Linked DNA regions of Diceros bicornis minor. The protein of the gene in region 3 purifies or fractionates together with the protein of the main gene of each other region. This does not show direct contact. Links are inferred from orthologs where the notes say so. Each region holds a gene or a part of one and is shown on either strand. Other genes may lie near its edges.

The links.
Region 1: the proteins of ANKRD52 (region 3) and PPP6R1 purify together in Homo sapiens (co-immunoprecipitation; 3 studies listed by BioGRID and IntAct, with this or other methods). This does not show direct contact. The link is inferred for Diceros bicornis minor from reciprocal best matches to the Homo sapiens genes ANKRD52 and PPP6R1.
Region 2: the proteins of ANKRD52 (region 3) and PPP6C purify together in Homo sapiens (affinity purification with mass spectrometry; 6 studies listed by BioGRID and IntAct, with this or other methods). This does not show direct contact. The link is inferred for Diceros bicornis minor from reciprocal best matches to the Homo sapiens genes ANKRD52 and PPP6C.

The regions. Positions count from the first base shown.
Region 1 is NC_080773.1:33,275,764-33,282,809, forward strand, and holds the start of PPP6R1 (serine/threonine-protein phosphatase 6 regulatory subunit 1), read right to left. Parts: upstream 3,031-7,046; 5' UTR 1,939-3,030; coding exon 1,915-1,938; intron 1,340-1,914; exon of another isoform or gene 555-1,339; intron 1-554. UniProt on the Homo sapiens protein: Regulatory subunit of protein phosphatase 6 (PP6). May function as a scaffolding PP6 subunit. Involved in the PP6-mediated dephosphorylation of NFKBIE opposing its degradation in response to TNF-alpha.
Region 2 is NC_080767.1:33,595,921-33,603,492, forward strand, and holds the start of PPP6C (serine/threonine-protein phosphatase 6 catalytic subunit), read right to left. Parts: upstream 3,031-7,572; 5' UTR 2,913-3,030; coding exon 2,838-2,912; intron 1-2,837.
Region 3 is NC_080756.1:12,520,900-12,528,698, reverse strand, and holds the start of ANKRD52 (serine/threonine-protein phosphatase 6 regulatory ankyrin repeat subunit C), read right to left. Parts: upstream 3,061-7,799; 5' UTR 2,621-3,060; coding exon 2,594-2,620; intron 2,281-2,593; coding exon 2,197-2,280; intron 1,745-2,196; coding exon 1,666-1,744; intron 1,462-1,665; coding exon 1,391-1,461; intron 337-1,390; coding exon 136-336; intron 1-135. UniProt on the Homo sapiens protein: Putative regulatory subunit of protein phosphatase 6 (PP6) that may be involved in the recognition of phosphoprotein substrates.

The DNA.
Region 1 (7,046 bases), on a different chromosome or scaffold from region 3:
GATCAACCCCACCTTCCCACTTAACGGAACTTGCTGGAAGCCCTGGGACTGGACAGGAGAGGCGGCTTTCGTTTTCACTCTCTAACAGCATAACCTGGGTCTGGCACTTGGCATCCGGGAGCCTCGTGTCCTCATCTGTGAAACGGGGGCACAGCCCACCGGGCAAGGCCGTGCTGTGAGAAGAAGCCGGGTTGAGGCAGGCGGTCCTGACACATCAGGGGCTTGGCAAGTGCTGGCCCCTTCCTGTCTGTCCCCGCGGCCACGCAGAAGCCTGGACACTTGCAGCAGGAGGGACGGAAACAGCCTCTACCCCAGGGGTGACGGCACTGAAAACAGAAGACTCCCCATTTGCCGGAGTGAGTCAGGTCATTCAAATACTCTGGCGGGCGCCACGCACCCCGCTGCCCCCACCCTTTGCAACTTTTAGCAAACTTCAAGAAAACGGAAGTGACTACCACTGGTTTTTAGCGACCGTTTGAAAACCATGACTCCGGCTGCAAACGGAAGAAGGGGAAACTGTAAATGAGAAAGGAAGCCATTAAAAAGAAAACTACCTCTCCCTGCGCCAGCTCTGCACCATCGCCTCGGGTTTCTTGCTTTGCTGTGTTGTGCTCAGGCCTCCGATACCAGCTGCCCCTCTCAGGATCCTGCCAGCCCCTGCCCCTGCCTGGGCTCAGACAGGGTCCGACTGAGGCTCCCGCAGGCCACCACCACTGTCACTGCTGCTACTGCTGCTGCCACCATCTGTCCAAACACAGCTCCGCCTGCCAGGGGGCCTGTGGGCTGATCCTTTATCTGCCACCCCTTCCTAGCCTGCCCTGTCCCTAAAGCACCCGGAAGTGAAGGTCAAGGGCGCAGAGGCCTCTGGGAGGGCCTCCGAGGCGGCCACCTGAGCTGCCCTGAGGCTCGGTAGACGCGCCAGCATTGGGAGAGGCCATCTCAGGCCTGCTGACTGCTGCCACCCTCAGCCATCACTGGCCCACAACAGCTCTAATGAGACATGGACTAGGCGAGCCCTAGGAGGGGAGGGAACCCACTACCCGCAGGCCAGCCCTCAGGCCCTTGCAGGGCAGGGTGGGTCAGAGGACAGCGAGACCACCCTCCTCTAACTTCCCCCAATCCACTGTCAGTTCTCGGCCAAATCTGGAAAGGGGGTGGGGGACTCCCGATTCCAAGAATGGGATGACGGTAATGGCGACCCCATAACCTCCGAGCAGGACCTGGTGTATGTGCCAGATGCGGAACCCAGCAAGGGAGGCAGCGGGACGCTCACTTGGGAGAAGGGGCCACTGAGGCCAAAGAGGGAGAGAGACCCAGCCAAGGCCACACAGGACCATGAGCTGGGACTTTCCCATGGCTCGGGAAAGCCTGAGGGGGTCCCCAGTGAGGGGATACCCTAGGCGCCACCCCCTCTGACCCCAGAGCACACCTCCCAGGGGAGGTGGCAGTCTGGTCCAACCCCAGGGGATGGAGTAATTAGGAAATAGGAGAGACTGGGGACAGCTGGCCAAGGACTGAGGAGGGGCCGAGAGCTCACATCAGGACCCTCTTCTGGATCGGTCACTGGTTCAAAGGAAAAAAAGGAAAAGAACAAGGCATAGATTTTGAAACAGCCCTTGGAAAACAGAGAGGAGCAGAGCAAGTGTTACAGAGTGATCCAGAGTCAGAAAGGCTGGGGGCCAACCTCGTCTCTCCAAACGTCAATCTCCGTGGCCTTCGAGCAGGGACCTAACCCACACAGCCTCAGTCTCCTCACCTGAGACACCTCACAGCTACTGTAAACCGGGGTTCAAAGGGAAAACCATGCTTGGCCCGGAAAGGAGGGCACGTCCCCACCCCCAGGGCCGAGCCTGCCTGAGAGCCGGGTGCAACAGGAAGGCTTCTCATTCTCTCCAAGGCTCCCCGGCCTCTCACCTCTTCTCCTGCTGCAACCCGCATGGCGCCCAACACTCCCGCCACACCTGACTGCTGGACGCGCCCTCGCCTCTGCCCTGGCTCAGCTGCTCCCTCTGCCTTCCCTCCAGCTCTCTGAGCCTCACTAGCTCCTCGTGGGTCCTTCAGGCTTCAGCGCAGACACCACTTCCTCCAGGAAGCCTCCCCTGACTGTGTTCAGGGCCTGCTCCACGCTTCCCTGGCTTCCGTGGTCACCCTACGACAGCACCTGACGGCTGTGTGACAGGCTCTGCCTGTTCAATCACCTGTCTCCCCCAGAAGATGCCAATTTCCCAGGACTCAGCACCAGGCCAGGCCCACAGCTAGAGGTACTTGTTGAATTAATGAAAACTGAAGTCCAGAGAGAGAAGGTGACCTGCTAAGGTCACTTGGCCAGAGATCGTGAAAAAAAGTTTTTTGGGGGGATGAGCAGGTTCTCCTCTAACAGAAACACACAAGATGACCCAACAAAAACACAAGAGTAAATCAAAACACACAACTCAGAATACACAGCTCCCCACGGATGACAACAGAGCAGATAATCCAAAAGTACAGATAATACCCAAGCGAGAGAGCAAGGCTTCTCCAGGCGGCACTAGTGACATTTGGGGCCGGGTCACCCTCTGCGGTAGGGGCCGTCCTGTGCACTGCAGGATGTGGAGCAGCATCCCTGGCCTCCACCCACCAGATGCCAGTAGCACCTCCCAGCTGTGACAACTGAAACTGTCTCCCGCCATTGCCAAAGGAACCCTGGGGGACACATGCACCCCCAGCTGAAAACGCACTGCAAGAGACCACCCCAAACCAAATAACAATCCTAGAAGCTACTGATCCTGGAGCACGTCCTGTGCCTTGCATTCTGCTACAGACTTCTGCCAACAGCGCATGGGTCCCCAGAGCCACCCTGTGCAGAGAGCAGCGATGTCGGTGCCACTTTACACCCCACTGAAGTTTCCTGACAACTCTGAACCCCGTACCACACCTGACAACACATCTTCCTTTCCAGAAACATCCTGCCTTTCTGGTTAACGGTAACATCTGCATCCTCAGCACAGACGTACAGGTGTGCAAAAGAGCAAGCAAGGAAGACCCTCACCAGAAGGTCACATTCAAGGGCCCGGACAGGCAGCCCCGGCAGGTGTCATGCCCCACTCCCTCGCGACACATCTGCACCCCAGCGCACAGACCTTCACGTATTTGCACGTGCTGTTCCTTCCACCCGGAAGGCCCTTCTTCCCACTCTCCATCTGTCAACTCCTACTCATCCTTCCTAGACAGAAAAAGCCACCCGCTGAGCCAGTCTCACCAGTCCCTCGGCTGTGGCCTCCTGTGGCGCCCTGAGTTACCTCTATCACAACACCAGTAATTGTGACTGTCCCTCTGCCTCTGTCTCCCCAGGACACGGCAGAGGCAGGTCCCCCTCCCTCACACCCAGCAGCAGGCTCCCTGCCCTGCCCTCAGCAGGCTCATCTCACAGAAGTGGGATCGAATGGCGGCTGTTCCAGAGGGCTGGCTCTCAAGGTCCCCCTCACAAGAGGCCAGAAACACAGGGTGGGGGAGCCACGGTCAAGGGAAGGGGAAGGCCCACTATCCAGTCGTCCTGACCAAGAGTGCGAGTCCCCAAGAAGCTGGGGTCTAGACAGCCGGCGACAGAGAAAGAGGGGCAAGGGGGTGTCCAAGGGGAAGGGGCTGAGGAGAAAAAGAGGAGGCTGTCTGAGAGGGAGTGGCCAGGGGAGAAAAGAGTGGGGTTGAGTCCCAAGGTGGGGAAAATGGAGGTGCGGGGGTCAAAGGGAGAAGACTGGGGAACGTTGGCTGGGTGGGTGGAGGCCTAGGGGCAGAGGCTAGGAGATTTGGGGGGCCGAGGAGCAGAGACTAAGAGACCTGGGGGGCCGAGGGGCAGAGACTAAGAGACCTGGGGGCTCGAGGAGCAGAAACTAAGAAACGTGACGGGCCGAAGGGCAGAGACTAGAAGACTTGGGGGGCCGAGGGGCAGAGACTAAGAGACCTGGGGGGCCGAGGGGCAGAGACTGAGAGACTTGGGGGGCTGAGGGGAGAGACTAGAAGACTTAGGGGCGGAGGAGGAAGAGACTGGAGGAGGGAAATGCCCAAGAAGTAATGAAGGGCCCAAAGGAGAAAGGGCTGAGCAGATTCGGGGGTACCTAAGCGGGGCGCAGGAGGGCGGGCGGAGCGGGGACTGAGGATGCCTGGACGGGCGGAGGGTCCCGGGCGGCCGGCTCACCTGCGCGGGGGGGCGGCGGCTCCTCGCACTCGGGGCTCATCGGGGCGCCCCCCCCGCCCCGCCGCCGGCGGCTCCGGCCCCTGCTCCGAGGCCCGGTATGTGGGGGCGGGGGGCCGCGGCGGAGACTCGCGCAGGCGGCCGGGCCGGGGCTCGCGCACGCGCCCTCGGGGCTAGGGGGGCCCTCGCAAGCCGAGTTCCAGGTGTCGGGGGTCGGCGCCGGCTGGGACGGGGGTGGGTCCGGGGCCGCCGGCGAGGTGGGCGCGAGCCGCGACTGGGGGCCGGAGGAGGCTAGCAGGGTCGCGAGGCCCGCGCAGGCCCTCAGCGGGGAAGTCGCCGCGGTTTTCCCGGCCCGGCCCAGCGCCCGCAGGAAAGCAAACGCCGGTCGGGGAAGACGTCGTCCTCCGCAGTCCGAACAGGCCGCAATGCTGAGCAGCGGCCGACGGAAGTCGAGGCGCACTTCCTCCACCTCCCCTTCCCCAAACCGGCGAGGTCTCCGGGCTTTCCAGTCCTCTTCAGGGCCTCCGACGCCCGTCTCCGTCCGCCACTATCCCACAATCCCCCTAGCGCAGGGGCACGCAGGAGGCCCCGCCCTCTCGCCGCCGTCTCGGTGTGCAAGCGCCCGGAGGCCGCGCGCCCGGATCCTGCAGTGCGCGTGCGCGCTGGGCACAGCCGCTCTAGACGCCGCCCAGCCAGAACATCTCCGTTGCAGATGCGCTTGCGCCAGTTTGCTCCAACCATTTCTCCCCGAATAAACCCAGACAGCTCAATGCGCAGGCGCTGCTGCACACCCGGTGGCATTTCTCTTGCGACTCCGTTCCAAAGTCCAGAGAAAATCCTGCTCCAGGATTTCTCTTCCCACTCGCTCCTTTTAGAAATCCATGCGCTCTTCTGTCTCCTCCAATCATATTCCTGCTGTGGCTCCAGGGTCGAGCTCCTGGGGAATCCATCCCGGGTTTTCTCTCCAGCCAAGGCTAAGCGCTTCTGTCTCGCCCGGTTTTCTCTCGACGCCTTCTCTGTGCTTCAAGGGGACTTCAGTCCCACCTCTAGGTTGCCCAGGCCGTGTCTTTACTGTTGCCAGTGTCCTCTAACAAAGCATCCTCTAACAACATCGACTGGAAGGATCCTCCTAGACCTTGTATCACTATGCATTAAGGTCTCATCTTTTTCTGAGCCTCACTTTCCCCAACTTGCACCAGGTTACAGGCCCACTGTAAGGATAAGTTGAGTAAATGTGTGTAAGGACTCAACTTTTACTTTTTTTTTAACCTGCAGATTTACCTTTTTCATTTCAGGGACATTTTATTGAATCATGTGTTTGAGTACATTTTCAGGTTCTGGTTGGTTGTCCTCTGTTTCAAGGAAGCCAATTATGCATTTGTCCTTCACATCTGTTAGCTTCTAATTGCTCTCATCTTTGTCATTTCCACCTGCATTCACTGGTTACCACGTCAATAATTTCATTTTTCAGCCGTGTCTCTCCTGGTCCTTGCTATTTCCAGTGTATTTGTTACATATGATGGTTTTTGGTCCTTGTGTCCGTTAGCTACTGCTTTGTGACAAACAACCACAGCCTCGGTGGCATGTATCATGTTCATGGTTTGGAATTGCAGGTGTGAAGGTCAGCAAGGCTGTTCCCACTCCTCACGTCTCTCATAATCTGGAACCAGTGGGCTCCCGAGGGCACCATCTCATAAGGGAAGGCAGAAGCACAAGAGATCAAGCCCAACTGTTAGCACATTTCAAGTCACAGGTCACCTCTCATCTGCCACCATCATTGGTAGAAGCAAGTCACATGGTCAAGCCCCAAGTCATGGGGCAGGCACCTGCACTCCACCCGCCATGGGGTGGGAAAGTGTACTTTTCTCATGAAGCTGGAATGGAAGAGAATGAATATTTGCTGAACCATCTAATTTGGCACAGTCCTCAATTTGTTTCCTTAGATTTGCCAATCTTACCTTTTCCTCTTTGAGGTCTTGTTTTAAAATGGACCTCGGTTCCTGTTGTTGTACAGCTTGAAGCAATTGTGAGGCATTTCCTTCTGTTCCTTGAGTCATCTTTTCTCCTACATCTTTTGTCTTTTACCCAGCATTTGGCTTGCTGTTTTTCCAGTCTGATTGTTGCCACACTGTTTTAACACGTATCCTCAGGAACTGGGGGGCGGGGGGCAGGGGCTGTGTGTGTGGCCATATTCAACCACCAAATGGAACCTGAGTAGCTGATGAAGTCAGTCTGCAAGAACCTGGGAAGCGGCAGGGGTTTTAAGGGCTGAAGGCTGGGTCTCCAGCCTGTCAGAACTCACAGGTAGACAATGCTGTTGTTTGTCTTAGAATTGAAGGGGCCTCTTCAAGTGTATAGTGGGAACGCTCATTCCCCCACTGTTCACATTTCCATATGGAGGAATATCTATTGCGTACTGTCTCTCTCCTGGCCTCTCCAACCCTTCCAGGGGCAGAGGAATGATTCACCGGATTGGATGGGCATCATGGCTCAGCCTTCCAGCTCTCCCTCCTCTTGGAGCCAGCCTGCCCAGTGTCTGGCCTGCTCCCTGCACCCAAGGGGACACCTTTGCTTGCCCACTGCTGCCTGCCACCAGGCGAGCAAGCACGTCTAACGCCAGGGTGAAGTAGCAGCAAGACTAAAGCCACTTTCTGTGATTGGCTCTAATAGTAATAAAGGTAATATTTGATCTCCAATTCTCGGATCCTGTAGCTACCTTTCGATTTATTCTGAATTTGGGAAGAGGGGTGAAAATAATTTGTCCCTCCAAAATCCGAAGAGTACAAGTAAATTCCACACGAGAGGAATTAGTCTGGCATCAAATGGGGCTAGTAACCCAGGGAACCGGGAGGAGAAGCACGGCTTTGGATTTAGCCCA
Region 2 (7,572 bases), on a different chromosome or scaffold from region 3:
GGAGGCATTTCAGACAGGTATAACTTTGCAGAGCAGGTAGCCTTATATGAAAAACTCAGAGGTGGCTCAGACTAAACATAAAAGTGAGTTCCAAAAAGACGACATTAACTATTAATCCATAAGTGGTTACTATGGAATTACATAATTCCTTGTGTTGCATCTCTGAGACAGACACTAGTATTCTCCCAACCCATACCACAACTGTCTTCAGTTCTTCAGTAAAAAAACTGAACACCAACTCAGTGCGCAACTTTACTTACATTCAACCTTTAAGAACTGCCCAAGAGATCAGACAATCGCCAAATTACAGAAGCCCTCTCCTGCCAACATACTGAAGTTTAAGTATTCTGTAAACCTGTTTTCTATCATTCATTCTTCCACTTGGCCAGATATGGAATCTGTATCTTCCATGATCTGCTCTGAAATCTTTATTGTGGATGAGAATCACATGAGCTCTTTTTTAAGAAAAGAAGGTTACGCTTTGGTCTACTCTCACAAATTTCACCCTTATTCCTTCCAGTTATGTAGATTCGATCCAGTACTAGTGATCTGACCAATTCCAACTTAAATATAGAGAAATCCTGATTAGACCTAGAACATCCTACACATTTATTATTTTATTTAGTACTCGCAACTTCTTCTAGTCAATTTAAAACACAGGTGAATTTCTTTCTTCTACCAGAACAAATCTTTTCCATAATGACCATTAAGTAGCCCCAATGACTTCTTTTCCTCCTCTGATAGAATCTTTTATTTTGGCTTTAAAACCTCCAGAAAGGTGCTCCTGGAATACTTTCTTGGTCTGCCTAAATTTAGTCTGTACTTTATGCCAAGAAGTAGCAACAAAATTAAATTTCTTTAAATATACCAGAAATGAGCAGTGCAAGCAAATTAATCTGATAAAAACATTTCCAAGACAAAGAAGAAAAGCCTCTACTTATAGAGAAAAAGTCAGAATTCTTTTTTTTCCCATTTGTCCAGAAAATTAACAAAAAAAAATTTATTAAGAAACAGATACATGCTGGGCCGGCCCCGTGGCTTAGTGGTTAGGTGCGCGCGCTCCGCTGCCGGTGGTCCGGGTTCGGATCCCGGGTGCGCACCAACGCACCGCTCCTCCGGCCATGCTGAGGCCGTGTCCCACATACAGCAACTAGAAGGATGTGCAACTATGACATACAACTATCTACTGGGGCTTTGGGGGAAAAATAAATAAATAAAATCTTTAAAAAAAAAAAAGAAACAGATACATGCTAAGTACAGTCCAACTGTGTTGCAAAGGGAAATGAAATGGTTTAATAACTATATTTCCTTAAGGTGGGAAGGAAATCTAATGTTTATCAAACTAAGAAGCCTAAAGCAATAAGCAACATTTTACTCATTATAAACACAAAGCTTAAACAGCTTTACATACATGAAAGAACAGAAAATTCAACATCAATTCACTGACATGCAAAAACCAACTTCACCTACGCGATTAACAGTGCTACCAAAAAATGTCTGGTTAGTTTTCCATGAACTGGGTGCCAATGGTGGTGGTACCCTCATTTCCTAAAAAAACGTATAGCAGAAAGAAGCCACAAAACTAACGTTTGAAGGATTCAGATGAGCACGAAAGCTACATTTCTACTAATATTGGCTCTGTCTTCATTTTAACTAAATTATCCTACCAAAAAGGGGAAAATGCACAAGAATGACTCCCCTATCATACAGCACGTATAATTAACAAGTGAGTACAAGTAAGTTACATTCACAACAGCTCCTGTGGCCTTAAACATTTTGCATACTTGTTGACTGATGTTAAATATCAACTTCCTGTACCAAAAAAGACAGCAAAAAAAAAAAAAAAAAAACAGTAACATCTTCGTTAAGAGGAAGAATTCACAAAGACAAATTACTTTAAACCCACAGCCTAAACAATAAAAAGAACGCAAAACTATCAACAGTTTAGCCACTCACCACACAGCAAATCAAAGTTAACTGAACGAATAAAACAGACACTAGCACTTGGCTCAACACTGCTCGACACCTAAGCACTGGTTTTAACAAACGCAGAAAAACACTTGTCAAAAGAGCAGTAAACCAAAGACTGACATTCCTTTACTAAATTACACTCAGAAATTTACGGGGGAACAGAAAAGTATTTGTATTTATTGAGGGCCTACTACTTTATCCACTTAAGTTAGCTCAACAAGGGACTCCAAAACGGGATTCCCATCTGCATTAGCAGACGCAAACCAACACTCCTAAAGAGCAACTGGGAGAAGACGGACGGAAAGAGGAACGACTGGACGTTCTCACATCTCTACCCAACAGCTCTGGCCCACCCTCGTCCCACTCCCCAAAAACCTACACACACGGGGGCCGCGTTCCGGGAGCCGGCGGCATCTCCTGTCAGACGCCGGCCACCCGGGCTCCTGTCACCACCTCTGGGGGATGACCCCATCCCGAAGGCATTGCCCGCTGGGGCTCGGCTCAGACTCCCGGAGCCCGGGTAAGGGGTTAGGGGAGAGGAGCCTTCTAAGCAAAGCTGTTAGGGCTCGGAGCCCAGGGGCTGCCCGGAGACCAAGAGGGGCAAGGCTGGGGCACAGACCGCTGCATCCCGCGGGATCCCCGCTGAGGGAACGGGGACAGCACTCGGGGGACTCGGGCTCCCCCGCTCTCCGCGCGACGCCGAGTCGCACCGGGCGGCCTCGCCCCGCGACAGGCCCTCCACCGGGACCGGACGGGACGGGATGCCGGCGGGGGTCCCGCGGAGGGAGGAAGGGCGGGCCGGCGGGTGCCCCGCTGCCGGAAGGGGCGAGCACCGCAAGCAGCGCTCCTGCCCCGGCCAGGCTCACCTTCAGGTCGTTCTCCGGCAGGTACTTGCACAGCCGCGCGATCTCCACATACTTGTCCAAGTCTAGGGGCGCCATTTTAGAAATAACAAGCCCCGACGGAAGCAGCGTCGGCTGCTGTAGTAGCGGCGGCAGCGGCGGAGGCCGAAGCCGGAACTCTCCCTACGTCACGTCCGGCCCGTGAGAGGCGTCTGCGCAACGGCGTAAAGCTTGACCGGATTCTCCCCGCTGCCTCGGTCCGCCCCACACCTTCTCCCGCTGAACCCAGGCTGCACGCCCCTAGAGGCCGCCTCGTTCCAGACAGTGAAACCTGCTGGGACCCGTAGTTGTCTGCCGTGGGGAGTGCTGGGATTTGTAGTTTTCAGTAGTGGCCAGCTACTCCTCTTTTCCTCCCCTTTCTTTCTTGCAGACTTTCACCTCTGGGCACCCAGCGAGGCTTTTCCAACGCAAAACGGCGAAGTAGGTGACCCTAGCCATTCCCTGGTTTCTCACTCTGACCCTATTAAGCATTCTCTCACCAGAACATCTTCAGTTAAAAGTTGTGTAAGCCTGGCCATTATAACCTGTTTGCACCTTTTCAAGGTTTTGTGAAAACCTTGCATAAACCTGTGGCAGAGATGTCAGGCTACCAGTCTTCCAGCCTGGAAGGAAGGGAAACAAATATTAAAGCATTTCTTATGCTAAATGCTATACAAATGCTGGCTTTCCGTTTAATCCTCATAACGATTGATAGGAAAGCAAGGCTCAGAGAGGTTAAGTAACATTCCCTAAATCTCACAGGGAACAGGCAGGGAGCCGAGATTGGAACATAGGTCTGTCTGGTTTAAATATACTTCAGTGTGAGTCCCAGGAGGACGAGGAGATTTTGTTGTACCTCTAGCGCTTAGAACAGGACCTGGCACTTAGTATACCTTTACGTTCATTCATTCAACAGCTGTTTATTGAACACCGACTATGTGCCAAGTACAGTTGTAGGCGCTTGGGATATTCAGTAAACAAAACAGACAAAGATCCCTATCCTCAACTCGTAGCTACATTTTAGTAGAGGAGACAGAACATAAACAATAAATATAATAAATAACTGTATAGCATATTAGTGATAAGTGCAAGGGAAAAAAAAACCATCAGGGTAGGGGAGATGGGGTGATGCATTTTTAGGAACCAACAAAGAGGTGGGGGAGTTAGCCATGCAGATACTTCAGGGAAATTATAGTGAAGAGCTGATGCAGAGGCCCTAAGATAGAAGCATGTCTAGAATCTTCGGGAAATGGCAAGAAGATTAGTGTAGTTGAGCAAGGTGAGAGGAATAGGAGAGATGAAAAAAACGTTGATTTTTACTTTTAATGCAATGGGGAGTTATTGCAGGGGTTTGAGCTGAGGAGTAACATGATCTAACTCATTTTAAAAGGATCATTGTGGCTGCTGTATGAGACTGTAGGAAGCAATGGTTGCATCTGAAAGACCAGTTAGGAGACTGTTATATAATCCAATAGGAGCAGGAGGTCAATAAATATTTTTTGTGCAAGTGACCCTGGACTGGATCCTCTTGCTCTGAAGTGTATTTTGGGGACATTTGGCTAAACTTTAATGAGGTCTCTGGGTGAAGTTCTTTGTATTATTCTTGCAACTGTCTTGTAAGTATGAAATTGTTTCAAAGTAAAATTAATTTTTCAAAGTTTGTTGCAGAATGAATGATGCCCACAAGCATACATTTCTTTATTTAGTCAACAAATAGTTATATCGTACCTATGACGTGAATGAGACAGATATGATCCCTGCCTTCATGGGGCTTACAGTCTAATAGAGGAGACAAACAATAAACATATAAATGAGCAAATCATTAATTTCAAAGTGTGGTTAGTGCTAAAAAGGGAAAGAAGGGGTAGTGCAAGAAAAATGGAGTAGAAGAGGCCTACTTTAGGTTGGCAATATAGTGGAGGAAAAGTGTGCAGACTCGAGCACCAGATGGCCAGAGTTCAAGTCCAGGCTCTGTTACTCACTGTGTGACTTTGGCAGTTATTTATCCTCTCTGTGCTCCAGTTTCTCAGCTCCAATATGGAGATAATAATAGTGCCTACCTCATATGGAGATAATAATATTTACCTTATAGGCTTGTACTGAGATCTAATGGAGTTAATATTTGGAAAGGGCTTAAAACAATATCACGTAAGAGTGCGTGCAATGTGTTTGCTCTGAGTATTGGGTGGGCAGGAAAGGCCTTCCTGAAGAGGTAACATTTCAGACATTAGAGAAAAAAAAAGTCAAGGGATAATATGCTCAGAGTTTCTTGGAGAAAAATATCCAAATGAGGAAAAGATGCTATTGTTGTTTGACTTTTTTTTAATAGTCCTCTTTGGAAAGTTGGCAATTCACTTTTCATCTCTGAACCTCAGTAACTGGAAATGAATCCTACTCAAGATGCCTTCTCAGAATTGGGAGGGGGGCTGGCCAGTGGCGCAAGCAGTTAAGTGCATACGCTCCGCTGCGGCTGCCCGGGGTTCACCAGTTTGGATCCTGGGTGCGCACTGACGCACTGCTTGATAAGCCATGCTGTGGCGGCATCCCATATAAAGTGGAGGAAGATGGGCACGGATGTTAGCCCAGGGCCCTTCCTCAGCAAAAAAAAAAGAGGAGGATTGGCAGATGTTAGCACAGGGCTGATCTTCCTCACAAAAAAAAAAAAAAGAAAAAGAACTGGGAGGAAAGACAAATAGGAAGATGGATATGAATATTCTTTATAAACTGTAAAGTGCTTAAAAGGAAGGTGTCACCAGCATCGTTGCTTATTTATTTATTTATTATTTTTGTGTGTGTGTGAGGAAGATCAGCCCTGAGCTAACATCCGTGCTAATCCTCCTCTTTTTGCTGAGGAAGACCAGCTCTGAGCTAACATCTATTGCCAATCTTCCTCCTTTTTTTTTTCCCCCAAAGCCCCAGTAGATAGTTGTATGTCATAGTTGCACATGCTTCTAGTTGCTGTATGTGGGATGCGGCCTCAGCATGGCCAGAGAAGTGGTGCGTCAGTGCGCACCCGGGATCCGAACCCCGGCCACCAGTAGCAGAGCGCGCGCACTTAACTGCTAAGCCACAGGGCCGGCCCAGTATCATTGCTTCCCTTGCTGATAAGTCAGGTAGGCAATGAAAGCAGGTGGTGTCCCCTTCCAGTGAAAGGTGGCAGTCCTCACATTACCAAACTGTATGGCAGTAAGAAGCTCCCTCCTGCAGACTCACCTCATTCAGTATACCTGACTCTTGACATCCACAGCAGAGAGAAAGGAGGGACGCGTCCCTCAGAGTGCTGGGTGAGTTCTTGGGAGAGGTGATAGACACACTGGGTAGTTTGGCAAGGAGACGAGAGAGTGTACAGAGCTTGCTGACTGGAACATGTTCTAAGTCTTCCTTGCACAAAGCAGGAGATCTGGGCTCCTGGTTCTGCCATTATGTGGGTTAGTCACTTTAACTTCCCTGAGCCTCCATTTCCATTTTAAAAATAGATCTCAAAATTTCCTTCCAGCACTTTCTGAAATACGATTTGTAGTCCAAAAGCATAGGTCCCACGATGAAAACTGGTTGCCATTTTGCCCACAAACCTCTTCCAATGTTTCTTGTTTCTGTGCAACTCCAGCATGGCACTGTGAAATGGATGGAGCCGAGAGACACGGGGGCTGTCAGAGCATTCTGCAGCTCTGGGTAGAAATCTCCATCTAGATGCACATGGATGTATGGCAGAGCCCACCTGGCCTTGGTGTTCTTTCCTGAAGGAGAGCAGAATGACTGAATATTCCCTAAACTCCCCTTTGGCAGTCAATGGGGATTTTTTTCCATTAATATGGGAACTCGCAAAGACTTGAGGTGTTTGAAATAGGATATTTGAGCAGTGAGAAGAGCTGCAGACCTCGAATTCCATTATGTCAATAAATTTTTGCTATAGTTTCAGAAAGTAGCTAAAAGATTTCACCAAATTGGCCTTTCACTTGTACTATCAGATCCTCTCTACGGCTCCCTGAGGTGGGTATTACTATTCCCATTCTAGAGATGAGGAAACTAGGGCTCAGAGAGGGTAATGAACTTGCCAAATGTCAGGGTTAGTGCTGGAGCCTGGGTTTGAACAGGAGTGTGTCTGACTGCTTCCCACTCTGCTACCACAGCTCTGGACTCCAGGAGCTCCTGCGGTTTCCTTCCTTAGCGATTTCTTCTGTTTCCTAGGACACGACTGTCCCAGTCCTCCTAAGTGATCACCAGGGTCTCTGAAACATAGACATAGGTGAGCCACCTCTCCATTTTCAGGAAGCCACAGGGCCATGGTTATGATGGAGACCAGAGATAATGCATATGAACACGTCTAACTCAGGGCTGGTGTCTAGAGTTCATTTATAGCTAGGAATAGCACCACACTTTACAGAGGACCAGCTCTGCGCTGCGCACCGAACACCTTATATACATGAATTAGCTCATGTATTCCTCATCACCTTGTGACAACAATCTTATTAGCTCCATTTTACAGACAGACGCCCAGAGAAAAGTAACTTCCTCAAGAGTAGATACTCATGGATGAACTTTTTATTCCTTGCACTTTTTACAAATGTATCTGGTTATTGCTTTTTCTGTTTAATCTCTCTCTCGAGTTAGATGGTAAACTCCAGGAGGCCAGGGGCCATGTCTGTCTGGTTCAGCATAGTGCCTGCCATAGTTACAAACACTAATTATGGGATGTCAGCTGTTTAAGGCGCCAAAGCTT
Region 3 (7,799 bases):
TGCTTGAGCCTGAGTGTTGATACAATCATCTGGGCTGCCTCTCCCCAGGCCTGATGGCCCAGGAGCAGGGAAGGTGAGTAGGACAGGAAGGAGAGAGGAGGCATGAGGCTGGGCGTGGACTGGAGCGGTCCTCACCTCTAGATGACCACTATGCACTGCGTGGTGCAGGGCGCTGCGCCCACTCCTGTCAGCCACATTGAGGCTGCTCAGCAGGGGTGCCAGAGCCTCAGCACACTTGGTGGCCCGGTTGGCGGCAGCCACATGCAACGGTGTCTGCCACAGCTTGTCCCGGGCATTCACATCTGCTGAATGTGCCAGCAGCAATCCCAGCACCTTCTGTGAAGAGACAGAAGATAAGAGAGAGGATGGGGGGGGGCAGGCAGGAGGTGAGGCAACAGGAAACGGTGGGAAGAGTAGGCCAGCATGGCACATGTGGCCCCATCTCCCCACCCCCCCACCACAGAGTCTCCTCTCATTTTTCCAACATGCCTAGCCTCTCAATACCTACTCCCCATCTTCTGGATCTAAGATCTGGATCTTCTTAAAATTGTCCCTTCCTTGCTAGGAAAACATGGATCCCTCCTCTTCCTCAAGCCACCTGATATCACTCCCCAACCCAGACCCTGAAAATCTTCACCCACACATACAGCCACTACCCAGCAAATCCACATGTAGAGGATCCCAATCCCTCACTACTAGGAAAAACAAACACTCCTGCTACATTAATGCCTCAAATCCCCTCTTTCAGCCCTTCCATAGGCACCGAAATCATTTCCATTACCTCGGTAGGCAAACAGATACCGGTTCTTCTCCAAAACCCAGGCTAAAATGCTCCTCCTGGTCACCACCCTCCCCAGTCCCACTGGCCTCAGTCCCTCCCCCTGGTGGCTGGAGCCACAGAAGTGACTGTGGAACCAAGAGGAAGGTCTCCTTTCCCCGCTCTTCAGAGTTGATAGACCCAACTGATGAGGCATGCTTGATTCCCGTGCTGTCAACTGTCACACTGCTTGAGGGCCAGGGATGCAACAGATCACTACTCCATCCCTCCATCACCCCATCATAAGGAAAGGAATCTCAGTGCCCAGAGGGGGATCAGACTCCAAGGTAGCCCCCCAGGGAGGGATGAGTCACTCAGGCCAGGCAGCAGGGCCCCCTGCAGTCTGCCAGCCCAGTGTTAAGCTCTCCCCTGACGTCACATCAGCTGGCAACCCTCAGCCCCCCTTACTAGCCAGTTCTAGGGGTAGGAGGGAGGGGACAAGGTCTGGTCTCCTACCGACCTGGGGGTAGACCAGCTTGTAGGGCAGAGGACTGAGGCTCTCCAACCCTTAAATCTCCACCTTTAACCAACTCATCCTCTTTAGAAGGCTGAAAGGATGTAGGAGGCCAGTACCTCATTTCGGGAGGCAGCAGCACGATGAAGAGGGGTCAGCCACAGTGTGTCCTTAGCATTGACATTAGCACCTGTGGGGATATAATTTCCTCTTTTGGTGGGAGGTGGAAAGCAGGTGGGGAAGGAAGCCAGTAATCAGGCCAGGGAATCTGGGTGGAGATGGAGGCTCACCTGGACCAAGCACCAGAGAACAATCCTGGGGTATGAAAAAAAAAAAAGGCTCCTCCCTCAGGTCCCCTCCCTAGGTGCCACACCTTTCAGCTCCCCACTTTCACCTGACATCAGTAGCAACTGGAGGATGGGGACATCGCCTACGTAGGCAGCAGCATGCAGTGGGGTTCGCCTCTCTTGGTCCTGGGAAGGCAGAAAGGAGGAGCGGCTGTGGGGGTGAAGTATCAAGAACCCCAGCCCAAGCCTTAGAGCTCCAGGCCTTTCCCCACGACCTCTTCCCACAGGTTCTGCAGCCTCCTAAATCCCAATCCTAGGTCAAAGCAAGCACCTAAGGAGGGTGGAGTCAGGGAGTCAGGCCCCTGGGCCCGCGAACCAGTCTCCTTCTTCCAGGAGCGGTGGGGGCGCTGCAGACACTGATGGTTCAGAAGACAACACCGTTTCTGGGCATCCTCAGCCTTACTGGTCTGTGCTCCAAGCCTCCATCCCCAAATGCAGAGCAGGCGCCCATCCCAGGGTGGAAAGAGCTGCGGCCTCATCCGAGCCGAGGAGACACGGAGCCGCCCCACTGGTGGGGAGGGGTCCAGAACACCAGGGCCCAGATTACCGGCTCGTCATCCTCCCTGATCCTAACTCACCAGCACATTGATGTTCTCCTTCTGCGAGAGGAGGGAGCGCACTTCCTCCACATCTCGGCTAAAGATGGCCTGGACCAGGGGCGGCTGCAGGGAGAACCGGCGTTCAGGGAGCGGGCCGGAGCGGAACCGGGGGGTTGGCGGGGACACCAGGTTTGAGGGGGGCGTCGCTGGAGAGGCTCTGCTCTGGGGTCCTGGCTGCAGGGGGCTCCTGCGGTGTCTCCGCCGGTCGCCAGGCCCCCAAGGACGCCGGCTCGGTTGAGGGGAGCACGGCGTGGGGCGGGGCGGGAGCCGCGGGAGCCCCGGGCTCGGGCCCAGCCTAGGCCGCACATCCCCGGGCTCGCGTGGCGGCGGCGCCGGGCCTTGGAAGGAGGAAGCGGGCGGGGGCAAGAGGGCTGACCTGGTCCGTGATGCTGAGGATCCCCATGGCCCGGCCCGGGCTCTGTCCGCATCGAGCTCCCGGCGGCGGCGGCGGTGGCTCCACCGGGGACACGGGGCGGCCCAGGCGGCGGCTGCGGCGGCGGCTGCGGGGAGAGCGCGGCCCCGCCTACCGGGGGGCGGGCGAGCGGGAGCCCGCAGCGCTCCCTGGCGGCCGTCCTGGGCCCGGCCGCAGGGCGCTCGCCGCGCAGATGGCCCGGGGCTGCAGCGCCCTCCGCCCCGCCCTGGCGGCCCGAGCCGCCCCGGTGCCCGCACCGCGCGCGCTGGTTCCCTGGTGCCCAGGCTGGCCGCACTGGGCTCTCCGCTCCAGTCTGGCGGCCCGGGGGCTCCCCACAAGACCCTAGCGGCAACTCGGGCCTTGACCCTACGGTGCCTCCCAACCTGCGGACCAAACGGCTGGCCAGATGGCACCCAGCCCACAGTGCCTCGGCCGGAGCTGACTCCTCCCGTCAGCGATTACACACCCCAAATCCCTCCCAGACCGGGGGAAGCAGGGGCGTGGAGATCCGCGGAGTATATATGGCAAAGCCCCAGAGGGAGGGAAGGCGCGTATCTCTACTGGCGGTGACATGAGTTGGGTAAAAAGGAAATAGCAAAAGTGCTCAAACTGCAGAGAGAAATCCCAAGAAAGATTCTCCAGCAGCAGAAAACCCCCACAAAGAGGCTAGGACAGCTGGCAGCTTGGAGAAGGTCTCCAAGGTCAACAGAAGAGGCGCTTTTCGACTCTCTACTCCATTGCCAGGTTAAGGTGGTAAGGTGGCTACATTTTAAAAGGCTCAATGCCTTCGTCTCAGAAAAGGGTGAGGGTGCTTCCCCTCCTCCATTGAAGAGGCCAGAGAGCAGCCAATCAGGCAAGATCCGGATGGAGGCCATCCCAGGCCAGAAAGGCAAAAAGAAGGAGGAAGAAAAGAGGATATTGACAAATTGGTACAATTTATAGAAGGTGATTCAGGGTCCTGTTCAGAGCTCAGTAACTCAATATATGTGTTCTAAGAAAGGAACACATTTAGGAAGAAGTGTAGCATGTCGGCCCCCTGTCAAGGCATAGGTATAAAAGCCCTTCCTTGTTCTCCAACAATCTATGCCTCTCATTGCCTTCAATATCTTTATTCCCACTGGAAAGATACACAAGACACTGGTACCAGTGCTTTTTCCTGGAGAGAGAAACTAGGGGACAGGGAATGAGGAGTGAGAGGGAAATTTACCTGTCACTATATACCTTTAATAACTTTTTGAATTTTTATCACATTGAAAATAAAATTTACAATATTACTTAAAACTTACCTCTTCTAGGAAGTCTTCCCTGGTTAACAGGTTCTTTCCCTTTTGTTAGGTCTCCTTAACACTGTAAGTGTTAATGTAATAGTGTATGTAATACTCAGTTTACACTGTCGGACACAGTCAGGTTTAAACTGCACACCTTTGTTGCTCATTCCACCTTACATCTTTGACATTCCCTTGTCCAACATTTCAGAATGGATTTGTGTGTGTGTGTGTGTAAGGAAGATTAGCCCTGAGCTGACATCTGTTGCCAATCCTCCCCTTTTTGCTGAGGAAGATTGGCCCTGAGCTAACATCCGTGCCCATCTTCCTCTACTTTATATGGAATGCTGCCACAGCATGGCTTGATATGCGGTGCATCCGGTCCGTGCCTGGGATCTGAACCTGCAAACCCCGGGCCTCCGAAGTGGAAGGCGTGCACTTAACCGCTTCACCACCAGGCCAGCCCTCAGAATGGATTTTAAACTCCTTGTTAGCCAGAGTCTTCCAGCACAGGATTGTACATTGTTTTGGGGTTCTTTTCTATGTAAAAATGATTTTGAGCTCTTTGAAGGCAAGAGTATATATTAAATTATTCTTTGTAGCTCTAAGAACAGGAACTTAATATTTGATGATGATGACGAAGATGAGGTTGAAGAAGTAGAAACTAAAGGTAGCTGGGGATCAGATGGCTATGGGTGTTGGGACATGTTGATTTGGCTATTGGATATGATGGATCTTTCAGGAAGGGCTAAGCTAGGATATGACCCAGAGGATGGGGAGGAGGGGACTACGTGGCTTCCATTGCCTGAAATAGCTCTTGGTAACCTGAGGAATTGGAGTCAGAGGTTGAGCTGGGGTCACGTGCCTGGTTCTGGTGTGGGAGTGGAGGTGAACAAGGGAGGTTGCCAGCTGGGTTCTCTGGACAGCTGGACGAAGAAGGAAGGGCTAGATGAGTTATTTTTAATATTACTCAGAGCACAGAAAGAGGATTTCCCAGTTGGAAAAAAAGGGATATGATATACATAACACAGATACTTCCAGGGCTCAGGGAGATGCACAGGGTGGGGGAGGAGGAGGCCTGAAGTGGTGGCAAAGCCCTCTTATGCAGACAGTCCTTCTGGATTTGACTACTGACTTCATATCCGGGTAACTCTAGGCAGATGCCTGCCTGTCTTTAAGCCTCAGTTTTCATTCTTCTAAGAAATGTTGATTGAAGACTCACCATTGTGTACAGCCATATACTAACTGGTTTGGAGGTAGAAACTTAGGAGTAATGGTGTCTATTTTTGTGGCGCTTATAACTTAATAGAAGAACATATGTATACTTATGAAACAACTAGAGAATATAGGATACATGCTACTTTACCTGGCATTATGTGTTCAGAGTAATGTTGAGGGATGGGTTCAGTCAAGAGGGTCTTCCTGGAGGAGGTGCGTTTTGAGTCACTACTTAAAGGAAGTTATTGATGTAGAATGACAGGGAAATGGCAGGAAATTGGTTGTTTCAAGTACAGGGAATGCACTAGGAAAAGTTTAAATGGCAGTAATTAGCTAATCTAATTAGTAGGGGGACAACAAGCAAATTGGCTTGGCAGGCCTATTGTACCTTGGGGATTCTGCAGCAGTTAACTCGGTTAAGGAATAGCGTTAATGAGGTCACGGTACAGTCATGCATCCCAGTTAATTTCTGTCTTTTATCCAGCAAGATCCTTACTCCTCACTCTAAATGGCTGTCTCCCATGTGTGAGCCCTTAGTCAGAGAGAGTGGGGCCAGACAGGAGAGTAGGGCTGGGAAGAGTGAATCTGTCCCTCAAGGTCACATGCCCATCTGAGAGTGGCTCCAGATTATCATCTTTGAACTGGAAGGAGATACTGTATCCTGGGGGTGGGGGTGAGGGTGCTGAGGGAAAAAGAAATGTTAGGAGAAAAAAAGAAGTGAGATCATTCCCCAATTTGGGGCTTCTTGTATATACATTATGAATATAAATAAGGATAGGGCTGGCCCAGTGGCACAGTGGTTAAGTTCGCATGCTCTGCTTTGGCAGCTCGGGGTTCATGGGTTCGGATCCAAGGGTGCAGACCTATGCACCGCACATCAAGCCATGCTGTGGTGGCATCCCACATATAAAATAGAGGAAGATGGGCACAGATGGTAGCACAGGGCGAATCTTCCTCACCAAAAAATAAATAACGATAAAAATGCCTTCCTTACAAAATGTTAAATGTAAACCAGAGTTCAAGGGAAGGCTCCCGCTCCTTGAAATCCAGATAAAATGGGCTCGAACTTTAAATCAATCCATATCCAGTGGAAGTCTCAAAATTAATGGCAATCTTAAGGAGCAATGGGAGTTAGAGGATTTATATCTGTTTCCAGGCCCCTGTTTCTGGGCAAGATGTCTCTCTTCCACACCTATTAAAAGGCAACACAGTCTTTAATTATTTTATCCCACCCACCAGTCACCCACACAACACTACACAGACAAAGCTTTCCTGCATGTGGAGAGCTTGACTAAAGACTTAGAAAGAAAGTAGAGGAGGGGCTTGCACTGCAATAGCATAAACATCTTTAAATGCAACAGCAGGCACCACCATTCTTCAAATGTCCTTCCTCTACTCCACCGTCGGAGAATTTCAATGGCTCTTGTACCCACCTAGATCCAGTCTCTCTCTAATTGCTGATTTCTCTCTCCTCTCTTTTTTTCTTTTGTTCTCTCTGCTTTTATCAGGAGCGATTTTTTTCTCCTTTTATCATGATGCAAAGCAGTATATCGACATTTCTTTTTTTATATATAATTTTATTTATTTATTTTTCCCCCAAAGCCCCAGTAGATAATTGTATGTCATAGCTGCACATCCTTCTAGTTGCTGTATGTGGGATGCGGCCTCAGCATGGCGGGAGAAGCGGCCCTATATCGACATTTCGTTGCCCCGGTTCCTGCCCTTGAGGTCTCAATCTTCATCAAGTCCACACTATTCCAGACAAAGATGGTTCTCCCCTAAAAGTAAGTCTGGTTCTTCCCACCCTGACTTCTTTCTACAAGTATTAAAAGAGAAAATTGTGCGAAGTCTTAGTCCAGAACTTGGAAAGTTAATTTCCTTTTGCAAAGATGTAAATAAAGCACAGCAGTAGGCACTATGGAGGCTACAAAGATGAATAGAACTTCTAACTGCTATAAACAAGGGACAATATAATAAAGGCTGTGAGAGAGACGTTCAGGAGATCAGCAGAGGGGCCAGCCCTGGAAGCCTAGTGGTTAACTTCTGTGTGCTCTGCTTTGGCGCCTGGGCCCGGTTTCCGGGCGGGAACCTACACCACCCGTCTGTCAGTGGCCATGCTGTGGTGGCGGCTCACACAAAAAGAGGAAAATTGGCAGCAGATGGTAGTTCAGGGAGAATCTTCCTCAGCAAAAAAAAAAAAGGGGGGGGGAGGTTGTGATTTTGAATAAAAACTCATGGAAAACTTAGAAAAAAAAAGATCAGATATCTGCTGTTGACATGCCCGCGAAGTCGCCTCTGTGCTTATGCATCAGGTCCGTGACCACAGACTCGCCAAGTACAGTAGTTTGCCTGGCGACCTCGCTCCACCGGGCCATCTCTGCAGCTTCTGAGACACACTCTAGCGCCCTTTCTCGCCAGAGGTGTGAAACTACATCTCCCGACAGGCCGCGTGGTCCCCTTCCTTCTCCCTCTCCCCGTCCCGAGCCATGGCAACGGCGTGACGTGCGGGTACTTGGAGCTCCAGGAGCAGCGGTCGCGGCTTCAGTCTAGCCTACCCGGCCGCCGGGCGGGAGCAGGGCGAGAGGAGCCGCAGCTCCGCGCCGCCGCTGCGCTCGGGGGCCCTGAACCCGCCCGGCTGCCGCTTCCTGCCGCTCTTCCTCTGCGGTGAGGAGGGCGCACCGGCGTCA